Linked DNA regions of Saccharomyces cerevisiae S288C. Changing the gene in region 3 together with the main gene of any one other region gives a genetic interaction. Each region holds a gene or a part of one and is shown on either strand. Other genes may lie near its edges. The genes, in order: GPX2, GPX1, AHP1 and TSA2.

Region 1 (5,981 bases), on a different chromosome or scaffold from region 3:
CAGGTCCACCGTACACTACGGATGAGCACTTGGTTTATAACGCTGCCAAACTTCAAGTTTTGGATAAGTTATTGAAGAAATTGAAGGAAGAAGGTTCTAGAGTTCTGATTTTCAGTCAAATGTCAAGATTATTGGATATTCTCGAGGATTATTGCTACTTCAGAAACTATGAATATTGCAGGATCGACGGTTCCACCGCTCACGAAGATAGAATTCAAGCCATTGATGATTATAATGCTCCTGATTCTAAGAAGTTTGTTTTCTTATTAACGACACGTGCAGGTGGGTTAGGTATCAATTTAACGTCAGCAGATGTCGTTGTCTTGTATGATTCAGATTGGAACCCACAAGCAGATTTACAAGCAATGGATAGAGCGCATCGTATTGGTCAGAAGAAGCAGGTCAAGGTATTCCGTTTGGTCACAGATAACTCCGTGGAAGAGAAAATTTTAGAAAGGGCTACCCAGAAGTTAAGATTAGATCAATTAGTTATCCAGCAAAACAGGACTTCTTTGAAAAAGAAGGAAAATAAAGCAGATTCCAAAGATGCTTTATTATCCATGATTCAACATGGTGCCGCCGATGTATTCAAAAGTGGTACATCTACCGGTTCAGCTGGTACGCCGGAACCTGGTTCAGGAGAAAAAGGAGATGATATTGATCTGGACGAACTTTTACTGAAATCAGAAAACAAAACTAAGTCATTAAATGCAAAATATGAAACTTTAGGTCTTGATGATTTGCAAAAATTCAACCAAGATTCGGCCTATGAATGGAATGGTCAAGATTTCAAGAAGAAAATACAAAGGGATATTATAAGTCCGCTACTGCTCAACCCCACCAAACGTGAACGTAAGGAAAATTACTCTATTGATAATTATTATAAAGATGTTTTGAATACAGGAAGGTCCTCGACCCCATCACACCCCAGAATGCCTAAGCCTCATGTCTTCCATTCCCATCAATTACAACCTCCCCAATTGAAAGTCCTGTACGAAAAGGAAAGAATGTGGACGGCGAAGAAGACTGGTTATGTACCGACCATGGATGACGTAAAAGCAGCATATGGCGATATTTCAGATGAAGAAGAAAAGAAACAAAAATTGGAATTGTTAAAATTGTCGGTTAACAACTCGCAACCATTAACTGAAGAGGAAGAAAAGATGAAGGCTGATTGGGAGTCTGAAGGATTTACAAATTGGAATAAATTAGAATTTAGAAAATTCATCACGGTATCTGGTAAATACGGTAGGAACTCCATTCAAGCCATTGCGAGAGAATTGGCCCCTGGCAAAACACTAGAGGAAGTTCGCGCATATGCTAAGGCCTTCTGGTCTAACATTGAAAGAATTGAAGATTATGAGAAATATCTGAAAATAATTGAGAATGAAGAAGAGAAGATCAAGCGTGTCAAAATGCAACAAGAGGCTTTACGTCGGAAGTTGTCTGAGTATAAGAATCCATTCTTCGATTTGAAATTAAAACATCCTCCTTCTTCTAACAACAAAAGGACGTACTCTGAAGAAGAAGATCGTTTTATCCTTCTCATGTTATTCAAGTATGGCTTGGATAGAGATGACGTATACGAATTAGTGCGTGATGAAATTAGAGATTGTCCCCTATTCGAATTAGACTTTTACTTCAGAAGCAGGACACCTGTAGAGCTAGCCAGAAGAGGAAATACATTACTGCAATGCTTGGAAAAGGAATTTAACGCAGGGATTGTATTGGATGACGCCACTAAAGATAGAATGAAGAAAGAAGATGAAAATGGTAAAAGGATAAGGGAAGAATTTGCAGATCAGACCGCTAATGAGAAGGAGAACGTTGATGGAGTAGAGAGCAAAAAAGCGAAGATTGAGGATACGTCGAATGTTGGAACTGAACAGTTGGTAGCAGAGAAAATTCCGGAAAACGAAACCACTCATTAAACCTTCTTTTTTTATATTTCGATTTTTTTTAATATATCCTACACCATGCTTCTGAAGAAAAATATATAATCATACTAATCTATAAATGTATTATTTATTGTTCCGGATAATTGCTTGATTATAGACAAAGATATCATTTACTTAACAGGCTTTGGATTTCTTGGTCCAAGGACGATGGTTTTGTTAAGGAGGAAAATCTTTGGACAACCTTACCATTGGAATCAACTAAGAACTTTTCAAAATTCCATTTGATACCCTTGAAACCTAGTAAACCTGCTTTTTGGCTTTTCAAATAATTATAGACAGAGTCAGCATTACTTCCGTTAACATCAATCTTCTTCATAATTGGGAATGTAACGCCATAATTCAACTGGCAAAATTCCGTAATTTGTTCATCAGAGCCCGGTTCCTGCTTCCCGAACTGATTACATGGGAACCCCAAAATAACAAACCCCTTATCTTGATATTTTTTGTATAGTTCTTCCAATTCTTTATACTGCGGCGTGAAGCCGCACTTGGAGGCAACATTAACTATGAGAACTACTTTGCCTTTCAGTTGGTCAAACTTAAAAGATTCGCCTTTCTTGTCCTTGCATTCTAAATCATAAAAAGATGTGGTCATTTTGAATTATTACTTTTTGTTGCTAATTGTATTCTTGTCAAGGTCAGCCATGCAGGGAAATGCAAGTTCTCTGCGCTACATCACATATTAGCAAATAGTAGTTCTTTATATATCAAAACAATAACAAAAGTACCTGCACATTTTTTAAAGCAGGCTGGCTTAGGGGCTTTGCACTAATACGGAGACAATGGAACTAATGCCTTTCACGATATGTGTGGCAGATATTGTGGTTTTAAACTCTTTGTCATCGGAATTACTAATTGTCTAGATATGGCCGGCCGAGTAGCCTCTAAAAAATATTAAACAGTTGAAAGTAAAATTGCTTGGAAAACACTACTGAGTCGTTGGTCATTTCAAGAGACTGCATCTATCAAAAATAGTCAAGATTTGTGTACATGTTCGTCGTACATTTAGTAAGTAACGTCCGTATTTTCCTTTTTTTAGCGGATGATGAGTAAAAAATTTCTTGTGGATTTATATGTTACGAATACAAACACAGAGGTTGATGCATGAATTTTTTCTAGCTACTACCATGTGTTTAATACAATAATAGTACAGGTTTCCTTCATCTCCTGTATATGGCCCTTTCCTTTTATATTGCCTCAATCTCGAAAAATGCTTTACTAAACAGCGCGAAAATTAAATTGTTAACATGTGTATATAACTGTGAAATATGTAAATAAAAACTTTATCAAGTAGAGCAAGGCGGAGAACGGTAACAAAAAGTAGACTATATGTTGCGACTTTTTTCACTGGCACTTATCACATGCTTAATCTACTATTCCAAAAATCAGGGCCCATCTGCTCTTGTTGCGGCCGTGGGATTTGGTATAGCAGGCTATTTAGCTACAGATATGTTGATTCCACGTGTGGGCAAATCCTTCATCAAAATAGGCCTATTCGGTAAGGACTTGAGTAAACCTGGCCGTCCGGTGCTTCCAGAAACAATAGGTGCTATCCCTGCTGCAGTTTATTTATTTGTAATGTTCATTTACATTCCCTTCATTTTCTACAAGTATATGGTCATAACCACTTCAGGTGGGGGCCATCGCGATGTCTCAGTGGTTGAAGATAACGGTATGAATTCTAATATTTTTCCTCATGATAAACTATCTGAATATTTGAGCGCTATCCTATGCTTGGAAAGTACGGTCCTCTTGGGTATCGCTGATGATTTATTTGATTTACGTTGGAGACATAAGTTTTTCTTGCCTGCCATTGCAGCCATCCCACTGCTAATGGTTTATTATGTGGATTTTGGAGTTACGCATGTACTTATTCCCGGATTCATGGAACGCTGGTTGAAAAAGACTAGTGTTGATTTGGGGCTGTGGTATTATGTTTATATGGCATCGATGGCAATTTTTTGCCCCAACTCCATCAACATCCTGGCAGGTGTTAATGGTTTAGAGGTTGGCCAATGTATAGTGTTGGCCATCTTAGCGCTATTGAACGATTTGCTGTACTTCTCGATGGGGCCATTAGCCACAAGAGACTCCCATAGGTTTTCCGCTGTTTTGATTATCCCATTTTTGGGTGTATCCTTGGCGCTATGGAAATGGAATCGTTGGCCCGCCACAGTGTTTGTGGGAGATACATATTGTTATTTCGCTGGAATGGTATTCGCAGTCGTTGGTATACTGGGTCATTTTTCAAAGACGATGCTTTTGCTATTCATTCCTCAAATCGTTAATTTTATTTATTCATGTCCTCAGCTATTCAAATTGGTCCCCTGCCCGAGACATAGGTTACCTAAATTTAATGAAAAAGACGGTTTAATGTATCCATCAAGAGCAAACTTAAAAGAAGAACCGCCAAAGAGCATTTTTAAACCGATCTTGAAGTTACTATACTGTCTCCATTTGATTGACCTGGAATTTGATGAAAATAATGAGATTATTAGCACCTCTAATATGACGTTAATAAACTTGACATTAGTATGGTTTGGCCCTATGAGGGAAGACAAATTGTGCAATACAATCTTGAAGTTGCAATTCTGCATTGGAATTTTGGCTTTACTTGGAAGACACGCTATAGGCGCTATCATCTTTGGCCACGACAACCTATGGACAGTACGTTGAAGATTATGTATTGGTAGTTACTTTGTACTTTTATGACGCAAAAGTTGGTATTTATGATAATTATTTAGTTATCGATTGAGTCAAATCGGCGAAGTATTTTTGGCGCTGCACGACAAGGTCACTTGTCCAGCCCTTTACTTCGTCTGTTTTTATGCTAGCTACAGCCCCAAAGAAATCATCGAAGTTTTTCGTTCCTTTGTATTCCCTCTCGTACTCAAAACATTGTACAAGCATTTCATATTTATCGATATCTTTCACGTATCTAGCTTCCAATGAGGTGACATTTTCATAAGCCAACCAATCGTCCATAATTTCCTTTGCCGCGATCTCATTGTATGGCTTGATCAGAGCATTACATAGATATTTTATGGTTTCCCATTCCCGACGATGCTTTTCTTCCTTCCCAATAGGGTCAACTGGAGTAATATCGCCAACTAAAGATTCGGCGATATCGTGCACCAATGCGATCCGGACACATTTATCGCGGTTAACCCGCGAATCCTTGATCAGCATGGTGATTATGCTCAATCTGTACATGTGATCTGATATGCTTTCACATTCTTTAATACCGAGGTCAAGATAACCGGTTCTTCTCTGAATTTTTAATTGCTGTACCACGTTCAAAAACGCCAGGATATAGTTTGGATGGGGTTTAGAGAGCTCATTTTTAACATATTGGGGTACTTGGCTTTCAGGCTTCCATTCAGTTGTTAAACGTGTCTTTCCTGCCTCAACAGAACCAGAGCATGATTTCTTATTTGTGATCGTTGCTGTCATATTTTTTTTATGTAGGCTTTCTTTGACAATTGTTTTTTATGAGAATAAAAATAGTGCAGAAGGTTTATTAGAAATGGAAAAGGTTTGCTCCTGCGAAAAAAACCATTCAGTGGGTATTTTCAGGCTTTATAATGACCAATGGACAGAGTAAAACAGTCTAATTATGATAAAACCATATTTATAGATTAAGACTTTTCTTTTATACGTTTCAGTAATGTTTTTTTTTTTTTTAATAAACGAAATAAATTTTTAACATCAGGACCGAAAAAATGCGATGAGCTTTTAGATCGACGAAAAGTGTAAATGATTTACCTAAATATATATATATGTTAGCGAAAAAAGCTTAGCTTCTGGGCACAGTGCTCGGTACACTTTTGGTAGAGCTGTAACGAGCAATGATACGCGGTCTGTAAAACGAACTTGCTTGTGTAGTCATACGTCGTAGGCGTAATGTAAGGTTGTCCGAGAAAAGATGGGAAGTGTGAGGGATGAAATGGATTTCCCTTAAAGTTGCTTCCTGATTAAGGGAATAACAGGAGAACAAAAGTTGCTGAATATCTTTCTCTCTTG
Region 2 (5,224 bases), on a different chromosome or scaffold from region 3:
TCTTCGTGGGTGCTCATATCACTAAAATCTTCTACCTCGAGCATTACAATATGTTTCTCCGTATTCACGTTTTCTTCCCTTGGTTTCGATCCGCCCTTTTTGGTTTTCCTCTTTGACTTACTCTTGAGATTACGGGGGTCGGCTCCTCCAATAATGCCTTCTAAGCCGTTTAACAGTTCTTCTATATCTTCTTGAGCAGCTTCTGTCTGCTTCTTCTTATTCAATGCGGCTATCGTACTTTGTGAAGAGCTTTCCTCATGGGCCGTACGTTCATCATTATCATTCTTTAACCAATTAGAGTAGGCCTGCTGATCCGTGACGCATCTTTTTTGGCTATCAATACTGTCATCTAGTAGAAAACCCAATAATTCTTCTTTATTCATGCTTGCACGTTATACCTGGCCGGGATTGGGGCGCTATTCTTGCATTGTATACAATATCCTCATATAATGAACTCTTAATTAATGCGTCATCATCCCAACTTAACACCCCTCATATACCCTAAGTTAGTACTCTCAGACCTATAGAAATAAATGTATCAATATCATGACACCTAACTGATTATATTTTCAACCCTAGGTTTATTTTTTTCACTTTTCTTTTTCTTTTCTTTTTCACCACGTTAACGAAACTTTTAAGTAGTTATGGTGATCTTTTAAAGCGATGCATTCCTGTCTTTGCCTTTAGTCGCACACACCCTCTCCCGTTTTTATGTTAGCTTAGTTATATTATGAATCCACGCTACAGGTTTATACTGAGATTTTATTCTTCGAAAAAACCAACTTTCCACAATACAGCACCTTCGAAGACCAACGTAAACGTACCACGCGCTAACAAAAGTCAAAGCAAGGGTAAACACAAAGGCAAATTGTTGGTACTCGTAGGAACTTTAGCACTCGTGACATCAGTTATTTCGGTAAACTATCAAAAGAACGAACCAGTTGAATTTCTTGAATAAGACAAATGACAGCTGCCACTACATCACAGCCAGCTTTCTCGCCTGACCAAGTTTCCGTGATCTTCGTTCTAGGAGGACCCGGTGCAGGCAAGGGTACTCAGTGTGAAAAACTAGTTAAGGACTATTCATTTGTCCATTTGTCAGCCGGAGACCTTCTACGTGCTGAGCAGGGCAGAGCAGGTTCCCAATATGGGGAATTGATCAAGAACTGCATCAAAGAGGGCCAGATTGTCCCTCAAGAGATTACTTTGGCGCTTTTACGCAACGCTATTTCCGATAACGTCAAGGCGAACAAGCATAAGTTCTTAATTGACGGATTTCCTAGGAAGATGGATCAAGCCATTTCCTTTGAAAGAGACATCGTTGAAAGCAAATTCATCCTGTTCTTTGACTGCCCTGAAGATATCATGTTAGAGAGACTATTGGAGCGTGGCAAGACCAGTGGTAGAAGCGATGACAACATTGAGTCCATTAAGAAGAGATTTAACACTTTCAAGGAGACTAGTATGCCCGTCATCGAGTACTTTGAAACCAAATCGAAAGTCGTCCGTGTTCGTTGCGACAGATCCGTCGAAGATGTGTACAAAGACGTCCAAGACGCTATCCGTGATAGCTTATAGACTAAGACGTATTTTATATAGTTTACGCTATAAGTTACGGCGATATTATATATATATGTAAGAATATATACATATATATTAAAATGATTATATGCCCTCCCCTACATATCAGACCTTTACAGGGTAACCTTAAAATAAACTGCTAAATTATTTGGTTTATGAATTAAAAGAGCAATAATAACAATGGCGGGAGCACTGTTTCGATGATAGGTAAGCCTAAAAGACTAGTCAGACGTATCTTACGCCATGGACAAAATCAATCCTGATTGGGCGAAGGATATTCCGTGCAGAAATATCACTATTTATGGCTACTGCAAAAAGGAGAAAGAAGGTTGCCCTTTCAAACACAGCGATAACACTACCGCTACTACCATAAATGACGTTCCTCCTCCAATAGATGTGGGTGAGGCTACAACTCCGACCATGACATCAGTTCCTAAGTTCAATGCTAAAGTATCCGCAAGTTTCACTCCGATGACAGTCGGTAGTGACTCCTTAACCACTGTGACGAATACCACCTCCGCTGCTACAAATGCTACTGGCAATATCGCCATGGCAGCTACCTCTGCTACTGCTTCTACAGTTAATCCGATGATTAATCCGATAGTTAATAGCTCGTTAGTGAATAACAATAACAATAATAGTAATATAAGCATATCAATACCAACTACCGCTTCGAGTTCCAATTACGACCCCTTCAATGCCCCCATTTTCACTCCGTCTTCAACCTCCTCAATTCACACTAATGCAAATGCACATTCTTTTCCATTTCCCTCCATTGCAAATTCTGGTGGCATAAATATAAACGCCACTGATGATAATAGTAACAATATGAGTATGGCTAATAATGTGCCACCTCCTATGCAACCGCCACCCATAGAGAGTAGTAATCTTAAGTACCCACGTATTTATCCGCCTCCTCACAGTCTTCTACAGTATCACCTATATGCACCTGAACAGCCATCATCATTGAAATCATTATTAAAGCCTAATGAAAGGTCTGCAGATCAGCTTTTCATTCCAAACAATATTAGAGAAGATTTAACCAAGAAAAACTTATCGATTTTGCAGGTTTTCCCCTCTTCAGGTAAAGTTATACCAAGTATTGTACAAGATTATTTTAATTTGGTTCCATTGAACTTCAATAATAACGATTTTTTAAATAAAACTACGCTCTTCAAAGTTTTTTCCAATTATGACGGTAAAGCCTACGTTTTGAAGAGGCTTCCTAACATCGATAAGTCAATGAATCCAAACAAAATATCCAAAATATATCAGATATGGTCAAAAATTAATTGTACAAATTTGATAAAGTTTAGGGACATTTTTCAAACTACTAAATTTGGTGATCTGTCTATTTGTTTGGTCTTTGACTACTACCCAAACTCGCTATCTTTGTATGATTACCACTTTGTTAATTTCCCTAAGTTTCCAATAACGAATAATTATTTATGGATATATTTAGTTCAACTCACCAATGTAATAAACTCTATCCATTCACAAAACTTGAGTATTGGCAATACATTAAACTGGAGAAAAGTTTTGATTACTGGGGACCCAGGGAGAATCAAGTTATCACACTGCAATTTTATGGACCTTTTGTTCAATGATGATACTGATACCGTAGTATCTTCCGGCGGAAGTACCATAGAGGGACAACAACAGCTAGACTACAAATATTTAGGAGAGCTATTATTTAACCTATCCATTAATATTGAAAACTCTAATAACAACACTGCCCCTAAAGAATATCGATTGGAGGAAATAACCCCTCAATCAATTGATGACATGAGACAGATCGATGATAAGTTCAAGGATGTACTCAAGTATCTGATATCAGACAACGGCGATTCCAAAAAGAGCATTCATGATCTTACTAGTCACTTTTATGATAAGATGTTCATGGTCCTGGAATCGTCACAAACCTATACAGAATACATGGAGTCTGTCTTATCAAGAGAACTAGAAAATGGCAGATTATTTAGGCTGGTCAACAAGCTAAATTGCATTTTTGGTAGAATCGAATCAAGAATAGACATAAATTGGTCCGAATCTGGGACTAAATTCCCCATTATACTATTTTATGACTACGTATTCCATCAAGTGGATTCGAATGGGAAACCAATAATGGATTTAACTCATGTCCTAAGATGTTTGAACAAATTAGACGCTGGTATTCAAGAAAAGTTAATGTTGGTAACGCCCGATGAGTTAAACTGTATTATTATATCCTATAAGGAGTTGAAGGACTTGATAGAATCCACCTTTCGATCCATCACCCAATAAAACAACACCAAATAATGTAGATACACACATATATATTAATTATACATTAGTATCCCCTTGACATACCCCACTACCGTCTTCATGTGGAAAATTTTCCGTATTTGCTTTCCCCTTCTGTTCCCTAATTCTATAGGGTAAGCGATTCATCCCTTGTTCGCCACATCTAAGAGAACTTAAAGCCGGGGCTCACCTCTACTACAGAGATTGCTTATGGTGAACAATATTAAGTGATTATATAACACAGTAATGTACAAATATATTTTAGTCATGTAGGTGATATTGTGCACGGCGAGGTTCTCTGATTGTGAACCCGTATAAGGAATATAAGCGGAGAAACACAATATTTATAAGTAACGATGCAAGAATTTTATTCTTTTTCACCAATAGATGAAAACGGAAATCCATTCCCCTTCAACTCCCTGCGTAACAAAGTGGTTTTGATAGTCAATGTAGCATCTCATTGTGCGTTCACACCTCAATACAAGGAATTAGAGTACTTGTACGAAAAATACAAATCACATGGTCTAGTGATTGTGGCCTTTCCCTGTGGTCAATTCGGAAATCAAGAGTTCGAGAAGGATAAAGAGATTAATAAGTTCTGTCAAGATAAATATGGTGTAACCTTCCCTATTCTACATAAGATCCGTTGCAACGGGCAAAAGCAAGATCCCGTCTACAAGTTCTTAAAGAATTCAGTAAGCGGGAAGTCTGGAATAAAAATGATAAAATGGAATTTTGAAAAGTTTGTGGTAGACCGAAATGGGAAGGTGGTTAAAAGGTTTTCATGCATGACTAGGCCACTAGAGCTTTGTCCAATAATCGAAGAATTACTGAATCAACCACCAGAAGAACAGATTTAATTTGCGGTCAACGAAGTTGAAAACGGAAAAGTGGTGATAAGAATGAAAATAAAAGACATATAATTGAATAGTCTCTGTCACCCTTGCTATCGTATCAACAGTTGCTCTTCTATCTTGTTTTGCGTATGTATTTTTTCTAAGAAGAATATGTAGGTTTTAGTCATTTTTTGTTGATTAAGGGAATGAAAATTGTCCTAAAGAACCCTTTCAGTGGTTCAGCTTTGAGAAGTTTCAATATTGATTTCCGTCGCATGCCTCATCGTTAATTTTTCTCTAGTTTTTATTTATTTCAGAAATTCAAGTTTTTTACTTTCAAGAAATTAAATAATGTAATTTTACAAATAAACATAAACAAGTAGAAGTAAATGAAGAAGCATAAAAATAGTTTTCTATATGGTATGAGTCCGAAAAGCCTCCTGGAATAGTACGTAACTCTATGGAAGAAAATGCTTTATATGTTGGAAAGGAACAAGATCATCTGAATTGAGAGTAATAAGCTT
Region 3 (5,957 bases):
TTTATTAAGTAATTACGTTAAGAAACAACATGATAAAAGTAATGATTTCGTATTGCTTTCCTATTTTCTGTATTTAAGCGAACAATAATAATGCACCTTTTCAATATCTGAATATTAAAATATCGTGAAATTGGGTTCAGGATGTACCAAACTTGATGATAGCTGAAGCACCATAATCCTATTTAAAGAAGTACCTGTTATCCGTCAGTAATTACCAGAACAAGTTAATTTTAAGTTTAATCTAAAAAAGTATTGCATGCGGCATTAAAAGACAACATAAAACATCTAAACGGTAAAGTATGATCGATAATTCTCCATAATAGTTCTGTTATTTATAATCTCCAGCACTAATAAATGCTATACGTATATTTGTACACAATATAATTTCAGAATTTATATTGCTACCATGACTGTCTGAGAATTGGGGGAATAACTTGATAATTGTTGGGATTCCATTGTTCGTAAACGCAATAATATTAGGTATATAGAAGATACTAAATGTTCTCTCCGAGGATATAGGAATGCTCACAATGGAATCGATATATTTCTACATAATAGTATTGAGATTATTCCTCTTTTAGTTTTATATAATTCATTATCCTATTACATTATCAATCCTTGCATTTCAGCTTCCATTAGACTTAATGACTGTTTCTCAATTTTTATGTCATCTTCCTGGACCTCATGTGATACTATACCAGTAGCATGAATACTACTGAATCGATGATACTTTAGAGTTTCATTGCAACAGTTTCAACACAGCCTGGCATGAACAGTGGTAAAAGTATTTCGTCCACTATTTTCGGCTACTATAAATAAATGTTTTTTTCGCAACTATGTGTTCGCGAAGTAACCCTTCGTGGACATTTGGTCAATTTGAAACAATACAGAGATGATCAGCAGTTCCCCTGCATAAGGATGAACCGTTTTACAAAGAGATTTATTTCGTTTTTTTTTTATCATCGAGTGAAGTATCGTGACTTGTACATTTGAAGATACCCAGCGTACAGCAGTGTATCTTTATCTTCCTGTATGATATAGATAACTAACATCTCGAATAGAAAATTGTCTCGCGTTCGAACCTAAGCCTTTGCTATCGGTTGAACATAGAAGACCGCGTGATTCATTTTAGTGCGTAAGAATGCTATTAGTACTTATGTGCTTTATGAATGTGAATATTGTTACAGCTATGCAATGGTACGATCATACTCTGAACGATCCATTTAAATTATATATGTCAAACAGAAGAGAAAGGTTTTTTTATTGAAGATTTCACAGAAAATCAATCATTTTGCAATATTCCTTCGTCCCAGAGAAGGTTTCGGCTTTTACAGCAACGAGAATGATTCTTCCATTATTTGTACCTAGCTTCCACATGGATTTCGATAAGTGTAGTTTCAAACCATGAACGCAATTCAAAACTTTCAAATTGGTGCAATCCAAGACCCTCCCTTTACATTTGGAGTCGTTAACTAATGAGAAAATATTACAGCATTTTGCGCCATTTACCGTCAAGTCACAAATGGAGACACATGCAGGAATAATTAAGTGGGATTCAACTTGCATTTGACTGTCACGAAGTTTGACCTTATATTCGGACAGATCAATTTTAAAATCTGGGTTTTCCAATAAAACATCCGAGAACTTGTTTTCAAACAACACTGCAGCCTCTCTGGATAGGTCTACATGAACAGTCTTATTCTTTTTGTTGAATATTATTTTGCACTGGTTAGAGTGTAATTGGAAAATAAGATCGTGCGAAACTGTATCGATATAAGGCCTTTGGTATTTTAACATGCTCCAGTGTCTTTCAATACAATGTTTTACCTTTTTTGTTGGAGGTTCATATTCATCATTGTTGCCTGAATCAGTCTCGGTTTTATGAAATCCAGTAGCGGCTTTTTCACCCTCAGTTCCATTGAGACAACTGCTTACCGCTAAAGATTGGTTTCCGGTATGAAGTGATGTTAACCTTTCAATGGTTACACCCTTCTTGGAGACGCTATCAAGAGCTATGCAAACTTCTTGACAATTAGTTAAGGGATTATATATAATTTTTGCCCGCACTAATTCCTGCTCCAACCTGTTGAGACGGTAATAACGACACTCTTTTATCAGAGATGCGGTTCTTTCCTCAGACAGTTCTAATTTGGAACCGCCCAGTAAAGATAATATATCTCGGAAAAATTCTGGGGACCTTGCAATATATGAGGGTGGTAATAAAGGTGGAAAGCCCGGCTTCTTATTTGACTCCCACTTCTCAATTTCCTCATAAGATATGCGAGAAATCGTTTCAAAATAGTTCAACCGGTTCCCTTCTTCATGGAATAATGATTTTGGTACCTTAAAGGGAACACCTCCAATATTAGTGAAGTGGTAGTCGTATTCTTTTATGAGTTTAACTAACTTGGGTAACTGAAAATATAATGCGTCCGCGAAAAGACAGGTAAATTGTACTTCGTTCTTAATATCGGGAAAATAACCTTGTAAATGTCTGTATATTATGATGAACACGTCTTCCGATCTATCAACAAATAGAATCGTATTTTTATCGTGCGTATTGAAGAATTGGGTGAAAAAATTGGGCGCATCCGAATTCAATGTAGCACCTGAGATCTCAAATAGCTTTTGGCCAATCCTAATCTTGAAAACTTCATGGTTTGGTAAAAGCTCGGGGGTAGTTTCTAACTCTTTTGTATAAACCACGATCTCGCCCTTTTGGCCAGACATCTGATATGAGCGTGCGTGTGAGTGACTTTACACTTGTCTATCCACGTCCTGAAGTTGTTCGTGTTCTTTGGATATTCGTGTTCAAGCTAATAATGAGCCTTTAAGGTAATACAATTTATAAACCACCACCTTGGCCTCGATCTATTGCGCTTATGTTGTCTATTAGTAATCAAGAAAAGAACCCTAAATCATCGGCGTCCCCTGTGGGGCTCTCGGAAAAACCGGTCCTGACGTCACTGAAAAGATTTCGGCACATGGTCATGGGACCAGAGAAAAATTAATCCGACATGTGGAATATTTCCTTCCGTTAAGGTAGTGAGCGCGGATTTTTTCTGATTTGTAATTATACGGGGAGCTCTGGCCAAAAAGGTCAGTATTTGGTGATGAAGTTGAATATCATCTTTTGATTTTCTTCTGTATCATTCTTTTTCTTTTTCCACACCCCTTCCGGACGGTATTCACATATTGTTGAGAGGTTAAATGAAAAATAAAGGGGTGGAAAATTAAGGACGAGATGTAAGGGAAAAGCATAAACGAAACATTATATAAAGGAGCACAATTTCCTCTCCCTTGCCAATTGTGCATATACCGTTTCTTTATAACGAAATTTCAACAAACCAGAACAACACAAGTACTACCAATAACCACAACAAAACATGTCTGACTTAGTTAACAAGAAATTCCCAGCTGGCGACTACAAATTCCAATACATTGCTATCAGCCAAAGTGATGCTGACAGTGAATCTTGTAAGATGCCACAAACAGTTGAATGGTCCAAATTAATTTCTGAAAACAAGAAGGTTATCATTACCGGTGCTCCAGCTGCTTTCTCCCCAACCTGTACTGTCAGCCATATTCCAGGTTACATCAACTACTTGGATGAATTAGTTAAGGAAAAGGAAGTTGACCAAGTGATCGTTGTTACTGTTGACAACCCGTTCGCTAACCAAGCGTGGGCTAAGAGTTTAGGTGTTAAGGACACCACACACATCAAGTTTGCCTCCGACCCAGGCTGTGCTTTCACCAAATCCATTGGTTTCGAATTAGCCGTCGGTGACGGTGTTTACTGGAGTGGTAGATGGGCCATGGTTGTTGAAAACGGTATCGTTACTTACGCTGCCAAGGAAACCAACCCAGGTACCGATGTGACCGTTTCCTCAGTCGAAAGTGTCTTGGCTCATTTGTAGATGCTATGTAATAGACAATAAAACCATGTTTATATAAAAAAAATTCAAAATAGAAAACGATTCTGTACAAGGAGTATTTTTTTTTTGTTCTAGTGTGTTTATATTATCCTTGGCTAAGAGGCACTGCGTATACTTCAAGGTACCCCTGTGTTTTGAAAAAAAACAACAGTAAAATAGGAACTCCGCGAGGTTCAGGAACCTGAAACAAAATCAATAAAAACATTATATGCGTTTCGAACAAAATTAAAGAAAAAGAATAAATATAGATTAAAAAAAAAAAGAAGAAATTAAAAGAATTTCTACTAAATCCCAATTGTTATATATTTGTTAAATGCCAAAAAAGTTTATAAAAAATTTAGAATGTATAAATAATAATAAACTAAGTTTACAACAACAAAGCAGCGGCACCAGCCAACAAAGCACCAGCAGCTGGCAAAGCCTTAGCAGCAGCACCAGTGTAAGAGGTGACAGAGTGAGTTGGAGCAGCAGAGGTGGTGTTCTTTGGAGCTTCAGTAGAGGTAACTGGAGCAGCAGTAGAAGTACCGTTCTTTGGGGCTTCAGTGGTCAATGGGCACCAGGTGGTGTATTGAGTGATAACGTCATCGACGGTGACGGTAGCGGTGGAAACCAAAGCTGGGGAGACAGTTTCAGAACAGACGTGGTCTTCACAAGAAGTGATGGTGACCAAAGTGGTAGATTCTTGGCTGACAGTAGCAGTGGTAACGTTAGCAGCGGCAGAAGCGACAGCGGCGACAGCGGCGATAGAAGCGACAGTAGAAAATTGCATTATTGATATAGTGTTTAAGCGAATGACAGAAGATTAATTTCTTGGTATGTTAGGAAAGAATAAAGGAGAATAAGAATAATTAGAACAATGTAGGATGGAAAGAAAGATTATCAAGCATGCCGACTTTATATACTTGAACGGAGGCAAAGGATGCAAAATTTTCTCACATTTCTTTCTGCCGTTATGTTGGAAGTAAGACTCCCATTATCGCAATACTGCAACACGAATATGCAAAATTTGCTGAGTTATCGCAGATAGTTGTTGCAAAGATAGCGGCGTAGGTGGCCGCGAAATGGGGAATTCCAAAACAAACGGTTTTTTTACTCCTGAGAAATACTTGTACGGGATAATCCAGGGCCTACCACCCACGCTTCGAGGATTGGCTTTTATTTTTTTTTTTTTGGTGGCGTTTTATTTCTTTCCCGCTTTCTGGGACTTGTGCGGAGTTTTGAGAGGGGCGCGCGGCAAAGGATTCCCAAAACGGAAATCAGACGCCAATAGCCAGCACTCAAAGCAGTTCTGGACCCATTCCGATTTTCCCATTTGGTTCTTGCGCGTGCTGATTCCGACACGCGCGTCTATAAATAGCATGAAGTATCCGCACACCGCAGCGTTAGTGAGGTGAGGGTGGCAGCAAGCTAATTCCCGCATCTGGAATCTGAACTGCCCCTTTTGGACTAACCGTGTGGTTCATGGGTGGGCGAAGTGCGCAACCTCGAAGGTTTTCTTTTGCGTGTCGGATTTTACATCCGGCGGTAGCGCATGATGCCATGGCTGGCTCCAGATACATCCTCAGGGCACCAGCATCTATAATTAGATTGGCGCAACATGGCTGGCTGCACTGCTGTCTTCACTTCTTTCTTTTTCCGGCAATGAATGATGTATGTTTTGTGGCAAAAGGGTCCGCATTGTACCTGTTTACAGTTGAGATTATCGTTTTTGGTAGCCCTTCATTACGGCATAACGTATTAAGTTTCTTTTATTTTGCTTTGCCCTGGTTTAAAAGACAATGTCGATTAAAAGTTAATTTTAATCGATTGAAGGAAATAAGAGGAATAGCGCAAGTTGTTAGGAAAGCGTTCTTTATCTCCAAGACTTTGCCCTGTATATAATTAAACACCTCAAAGCGCTTCGTCATGGATGGAGATTATTCGGCATTTTGACATACAGGAGTGCCACATGCGAAAGCGGAGTGGGCGTATTCTCTGGTTACCCTACATGGTCTGGCGGCGTTATTATACGGGAGGATCTTC
Region 4 (6,221 bases), on a different chromosome or scaffold from region 3:
GGGGGACAACGAGTCACTTCAATTGCTCAATGACATAGAATTTACAAGGCTAGGACTGACACCTAGGGAGCCAGTAATTATCAAAGACGTAAAGACAGGGAAGGAGAGAAAATTACATGGACGGTTCCTTCATATTACCGATATTCATCCTGACCCTTATTATGTGGAAGGAAGCTCTATTGATGCAGTTTGTCACACAGGAAAACCAAGCAAAAAAAAGGATGTGGCACCCAAGTTTGGGAAGGCAATGTCTGGATGTGATTCTCCCGTTATTTTAATGGAAGAAACTCTGAGATGGATTAAAGAAAATCTTAGAGATAAGATTGATTTTGTCATTTGGACGGGTGATAATATCAGACATGACAATGACCGGAAACATCCAAGAACAGAAGCACAAATTTTTGATATGAACAATATCGTTGCTGATAAAATGACAGAATTATTTAGTGCTGGCAATGAAGAAGATCCAAGAGATTTTGATGTGTCTGTCATTCCAAGTCTTGGAAACAATGATGTCTTTCCACATAACATGTTTGCACTAGGACCAACTCTACAAACTAGAGAATATTATAGGATTTGGAAAAATTTTGTTCCGCAGCAGCAGCAAAGAACTTTTGATAGGAGTGCTTCATTTTTGACTGAAGTTATTCCAGGGAAGCTTGCTGTCCTGTCAATTAACACGCTGTACTTATTCAAGGCCAATCCGTTAGTTGACAATTGTAATTCAAAAAAAGAACCAGGTTACCAACTTTTACTTTGGTTCGGTTATGTATTAGAAGAACTAAGGAGTAGGGGAATGAAAGTATGGTTAAGTGGACATGTACCTCCAATCGCAAAAAATTTCGATCAGTCGTGCTACGATAAGTTCACGCTATGGACTCACGAATACAGGGATATAATCATTGGAGGATTATACGGTCACATGAATATTGACCACTTCATCCCAACGGATGGTAAAAAAGCTAGAAAATCGTTATTGAAAGCCATGGAGCAATCCACTCGTGTTCAACAAGGAGAAGACAGTAATGAAGAGGACGAAGAAACTGAATTGAATAGAATTCTGGATCACGCTATGGCGGCAAAAGAAGTTTTTTTAATGGGAGCGAAACCATCTAACAAAGAAGCATATATGAACACCGTCCGCGACACATACTATCGGAAAGTGTGGAATAAGCTGGAAAGAGTGGATGAAAAAAATGTTGAAAATGAGAAGAAAAAGAAAGAAAAGAAGGACAAAAAAAAGAAAAAGCCAATCACTAGAAAAGAGCTCATTGAACGCTATTCCATTGTGAACATAGGTGGTTCAGTCATTCCAACTTTCAATCCTTCCTTTAGGATCTGGGAATATAACATCACCGACATAGTGAATGACTCCAATTTTGCAGTTTCGGAGTATAAGCCCTGGGATGAATTTTTCGAGTCACTAAATAAGATTATGGAAGACTCTTTGCTAGAAGATGAAATGGACAGCAGTAATATCGAGGTTGGGATCAACCGCGAGAAGATGGGCGAAAAGAAAAACAAGAAGAAAAAGAAAAATGACAAGACTATGCCAATTGAGATGCCAGACAAATACGAACTCGGCCCTGCATATGTACCGCAGTTATTCACTCCGACGCGTTTCGTCCAATTCTACGCCGACTTGGAAAAAATCAATCAAGAATTACATAATTCATTTGTTGAATCTAAGGATATTTTCAGGTATGAGATAGAATATACCTCAGACGAGAAACCATACTCAATGGATTCGTTAACAGTAGGAAGTTATTTGGATCTTGCAGGCAGATTATACGAAAACAAACCTGCATGGGAAAAATACGTCGAATGGTCATTTGCGTCTTCTGGATATAAAGATGATTAAGTTAATATACACATAGAAATGCATATCATTCTTCAATTACAGTTTCTTTTTCTTTTGTTACACTATTCTTTCAAGTCAATTTCATAATAATACAAAACCATCTTTCTTATCATATATAGGGTGATGTATTTTTAATTATTTAATAGGGCCTAGCGTTATCGTGCGAAGATTAATTATTGGCATTTTTGAAATACTCCTTGGAATCTTTAACGTCAGGTTTGATGGTGGCGGCTCCTGGGGTCCAGTTGCATGGCAAAACTGTACCATTTTTGTCAGTCCACTGGAAACCTTCGACTAATCTCAAAGCTTCATTGACGTTTCTGCCAACAGATAAATCATTGATAGTGATATGTCTAATGATTCCCTTCGGGTCGATTATGAACAAACCTCTTAAAGCTATACCTTCTTTTTCAATCAAAACGCCATAGTCTCTGGATAAGGAATGATTCTTATCAGCAAGCAAAGGAACTTTAACTGGACCTAATCCACCGTCTTTTCTGGGAAGGTTGGTCCATGCCAGTAAGGAATATTCAGAGTCGGTGGAGGCAAATAAAACTTGGGCGCCCTGATCTTCGAATTTCTTGGCGGCATCGGAAAACGCAACAATCTCAGTTGGACAGACAAATGAAAAAGCCAATGGGACAAAAGCTAGAACAACGTACTTACCTTTATACTTTTCCAGTGAAATTTCCTCGAAGATACCGTCGACTACGGCGGTTTTCTTAAATGGTGGGGCTTGTTTTTGAACTTCTGCTACCATGATTGGTTTTTTACGTTCTTGTAAGGCTAATATATTCTTGAGCAAAAAACAGTAATAGTGTTCACTTTGGATATTTCAAGATAAACAATGTAAGTAGCAAAAAACAATCGAAATTACAAAATATATTCTTACAATCGTCTGCTCTAAATACGTTAATCTAAATCTCATCCATAGTTGATCCTTGATTACTCGGGTAACAAACACCTTAGCAGATGTGTAAGAGAAAGGAGAGCCTCGCCCGCTCCTAAACGACGCCAATTGTAAGGGGGGATCAGCCCTTCCAACCCCCAATGACTAAAACTTGTAAACTAGAGGGGCGCATATAGTTAAGATAATCAGATACTGGCCCAATATGATATTGTCTAGATCTTGAGGATGACCAACCAACAGATTCCTGGCCACAGTATCCGTGGTCATTGATTTTGGCACTTGGAAATTCAAGAGATGGTTCTAGTCGTCGTAGCGCTTACTAACAAAAAAAACTAGCATAAGCCCGTTGAGAACTTTTACACTATATTAATTGAATAATTGGACGTTTTGTCGCTTTGCGACAGCACTCTCCTACCAGGTACATACTTAGTAATGTCTATATAGGGCTACATCATTTTTCTGCAAAGATAAAATCCTTCAATTCCTTGTAGGCCTTGTCCAAATCATCATTGACAATAACTTTGTCATGGGCACCTGTCTCAGCATATGCCAATTCAGCTTGAGCGGCGCTTAACCTCTTGTTGATGGATTCTTCGGTCTCCGTACCTCTACCTTCTAATCTTTTTTTCAAATCCTCGACCGATGGTGGAGCAATAAACAAAAACCTGGCATTTAACTCTGGGATAGCCTTGACAGATTTGACACCCTGCATATCAATATCTAAAATACAAGTCTTACCAGATTTACTGACTTGTTTGACGGAAGCGACAGTACTACCATAGTAGTTACCGGAGAATTGCGCCCATTCAATGAATTCATTGTTCTTAATCATAGATTTGAATTCATCTACGGAGACAAAGTTATAGTCCTTACCGTTTACTTCGCCAGCTCTTGGGGTTCTAGTAGTGGATGAAACACTAAACCCGAAAGAATCTGGGTATTCAGCGAACAATTTCTTCAACAGTGTAGATTTACCTGTACCACTTGGGCCAGAAATTACGATAGGACGGGACATAACGCAAAGGTTTACTAATCTTTATCCGAAGTAAACTGTAGTTATCAACTAAAAAGAAACGCCATTGTGTATCCATTTATGCTAAATGTATTTTTTTTTTTCTTTTTTATGTGTTTCCAAGCTTTTTTTCGAAATTTGGAATGTACCGATGAGTACGGTTGCTATTAGCATCGACGCCGCCGGAAAGACGCATCACATATTTCGAGAACCGAAACTTCCTGTCGATATAACCTACACTTCAAATAGCTATCATTTCGAATCGTCGCAGTTTTGACAATCACATTTATACACTTACTGTCGTTTTTTATGTAAAGGCTGTGAAAATTTCACCTTATTAATGCTTATAGAGCAGAGTTTAGGATGAATTTTGCATTGTAGCCTGCCGTGAGCACACACAAGGAGTAGCAGAGCAGTAGTCTTGCCAAAGGATTATGACAGATGATATACCTTGCACAAACGTGATAGCAAGGAACTGCAAAAGTTGATATCGAACAATCATTATTCACGGTGTGACTTTTTCTGTTTCCGTTGCTTTTCTAGCTACTCTAAGATAAAGGGCACCCAAGATTGACAAATAGTTGTAGATTAAACATAGATTGCAAGCAGTGAAATTCAGAGGATAATCTTTTATCGCTGTCAGTACATACCATATGAAAAATGCTATCCAAGGTATTGCTGAATATAGCTTTCAAGGTGCTGTTAACCACCGCCAAGAGAGCAGTTGATCCTGACGATGATGATGAACTTCTACCTTCCCCGGATCTCCCGGGTAGCGATGACCCTATTGCAGGTGATCCTGATGTAGACTTAAACCCTGTTACAGAAGAAATGTTCTCTTCATGGGCATTGTTCATTATGTTGCTCCTATTGATCTCTGCATTGTGGTCTAGTTACTATTTAACTCAGAAACGAATTAGGGCAGTGCATGAAACTGTGCTTTCTATTTTTTATGGTATGGTTATTGGCTTGATAATAAGGATGTCCCCCGGGCATTATATTCAAGATACGGTTACTTTTAATTCATCCTACTTTTTTAATGTTCTATTGCCGCCAATTATTTTAAATAGTGGGTACGAGTTGAATCAAGTGAACTTTTTCAATAATATGTTATCTATCTTAATTTTCGCCATACCGGGCACCTTCATATCTGCTGTGGTTATTGGAATCATATTGTATATCTGGACCTTTTTAGGACTAGAGAGTATTGACATTTCATTCGCAGATGCAATGTCTGTTGGTGCTACATTATCTGCTACCGACCCTGTTACAATTCTTTCAATTTTCAATGCGTATAAAGTGGATCCTAAGCTATATACCATCATTTTTGGAGAATCACTGTTAAATGATGCCATCTCTATTGTTATGTTTGAAACCTGTCAAAAATTTCATGGTCAACCTGCAACATTTTCGTCGGTTTTTGAAGGGGCAGGCCTCTTTTTGATGACTTTCTCCGTTTCGTTGTTGATAGGCGTTCTTATAGGAATTCTTGTTGCTCTTCTGTTGAAACACACTCACATAAGGCGCTATCCTCAAATTGAGAGTTGTTTGATCTTGTTGATTGCTTATGAATCCTATTTTTTCTCCAACGGTTGCCATATGTCCGGTATCGTCTCCTTGTTATTTTGCGGAATTACTTTAAAACATTACGCCTATTATAACATGTCAAGAAGATCACAGATCACCATTAAGTATATTTTCCAACTATTGGCAAGATTATCAGAGAATTTCATCTTTATCTATCTAGGTTTAGAACTTTTTACTGAAGTAGAACTAGTCTATAAGCCACTGCTAATTATTGTGGCAGCTATTTCTATATGTGTTGCTCGTTGGTGTGCTGTGTTCCCATTGTCGCAATTTGTTAACTGGATATATAGAGTAAAGACAATCAGATCTATGAGCGGCATAACCGGAGAAAATATTTCTGTTCCCGATGAAATACCCTACAATTACCAAATGATGACATTTTGGGCAGGTTTACGTGGTGCTGTTGGTGTCGCCTTGGCGTTGGGAATTCAAGGTGAGTATAAGTTCACTTTATTGGCAACGGTCCTTGTTGTTGTTGTTTTAACAGTTATCATTTTTGGGGGCACTACTGCAGGAATGTTAGAAGTTTTAAATATTAAGACTGGTTGCATAAGTGAAGAAGATACATCTGATGACGAGTTTGATATAGAGGCTCCAAGGGCGATAAATTTATTGAACGGTAGTTCTATTCAGACAGATTTGGGCCCATATTCTGACAACAATTCTCCAGATATTTCAATTGACCAATTCGCGGTCAGCAGTAACAAGAATCTCCCCAATAACATATCCACAACTGGTGGTAATACTTTTGGAGGCCTTAATGAAACTGAGAATACTAGCCCTAACCCGGCAAGGTCTTCTATGGATAAGCGTAATTTGAGAGATAAACTGGGAACAATCTTTAATTCCGA

Evidence for each region.
Region 1: mutations in AHP1 (region 3) and GPX2 impair growth when combined (synthetic growth defect), as found in Saccharomyces cerevisiae (one study listed by BioGRID).
Region 2: mutations in AHP1 (region 3) and GPX1 impair growth when combined (synthetic growth defect), as found in Saccharomyces cerevisiae (one study listed by BioGRID).
Region 4: mutations in AHP1 (region 3) and TSA2 impair growth when combined (synthetic growth defect), as found in Saccharomyces cerevisiae (one study listed by BioGRID).

What each region holds. Positions count from the first base shown.
Region 1 is NC_001134.8:704,100-710,080, reverse strand, and holds GPX2 (glutathione peroxidase GPX2), read right to left. Parts: upstream 2,554-5,981; coding exon 2,065-2,553; downstream 1-2,064. Other genes in the region: chromatin-remodeling ATPase ISW1, read left to right, coding at 1-1,931; ALG7 (UDP-N-acetylglucosamine--dolichyl-phosphate N-acetylglucosaminephosphotransferase), read left to right, coding at 3,288-4,634; YBR242W (5'-deoxynucleotidase), read right to left, coding at 4,695-5,411. UniProt on the Saccharomyces cerevisiae protein: Glutathione peroxidase-like protein that protects cells from phospholipid hydroperoxides and nonphospholipid peroxides during oxidative stress. Plays an important role in the oxidative stress-induced response in the presence of Ca(2+).
Region 2 is NC_001143.9:388,880-394,103, reverse strand, and holds GPX1 (glutathione peroxidase GPX1), read left to right. Parts: upstream 1-4,220; coding exon 4,221-4,724; downstream 4,725-5,224. Other genes in the region: SKA1 (Ska1p), read right to left, coding at 1-383; MIN9 (Min9p), read left to right, coding at 731-958; URA6 (bifunctional uridylate/adenylate kinase), read left to right, coding at 964-1,578; PAN-complex poly(A)-binding subunit PAN3, read left to right, coding at 1,825-3,864; TCD2 (tRNA threonylcarbamoyladenosine dehydratase), read right to left, coding at 5,199-5,224. UniProt on the Saccharomyces cerevisiae protein: Glutathione peroxidase-like protein that protects cells from phospholipid hydroperoxides and nonphospholipid peroxides during oxidative stress. Has peroxidase activity using thioredoxin or glutathione as a reducing power. Involved in peroxisome formation.
Region 3 is NC_001144.5:365,395-371,351, forward strand, and holds AHP1 (thioredoxin peroxidase AHP1), read left to right. Parts: upstream 1-3,386; coding exon 3,387-3,917; downstream 3,918-5,957. Other genes in the region: YLR108C (uncharacterized protein), read right to left, coding at 1,273-2,730; CCW12 (Ccw12p), read right to left, coding at 4,303-4,704; YLR111W (uncharacterized protein), read left to right, coding at 4,997-5,329; YLR112W (uncharacterized protein), read left to right, coding at 5,397-5,816. UniProt on the Saccharomyces cerevisiae protein: Thiol-specific peroxidase that catalyzes the reduction of hydrogen peroxide and organic hydroperoxides to water and alcohols, respectively.
Region 4 is NC_001136.10:1,363,042-1,369,262, forward strand, and holds TSA2 (thioredoxin peroxidase TSA2), read right to left. Parts: upstream 2,622-6,221; coding exon 2,031-2,621; downstream 1-2,030. Other genes in the region: PPN1 (endopolyphosphatase), read left to right, coding at 1-1,861; GUK1 (guanylate kinase), read right to left, coding at 3,223-3,786; bifunctional K:H/Na:H antiporter NHX1, read left to right, coding at 4,444-6,221. UniProt on the Saccharomyces cerevisiae protein: Thiol-specific peroxidase that catalyzes the reduction of hydrogen peroxide and organic hydroperoxides to water and alcohols, respectively.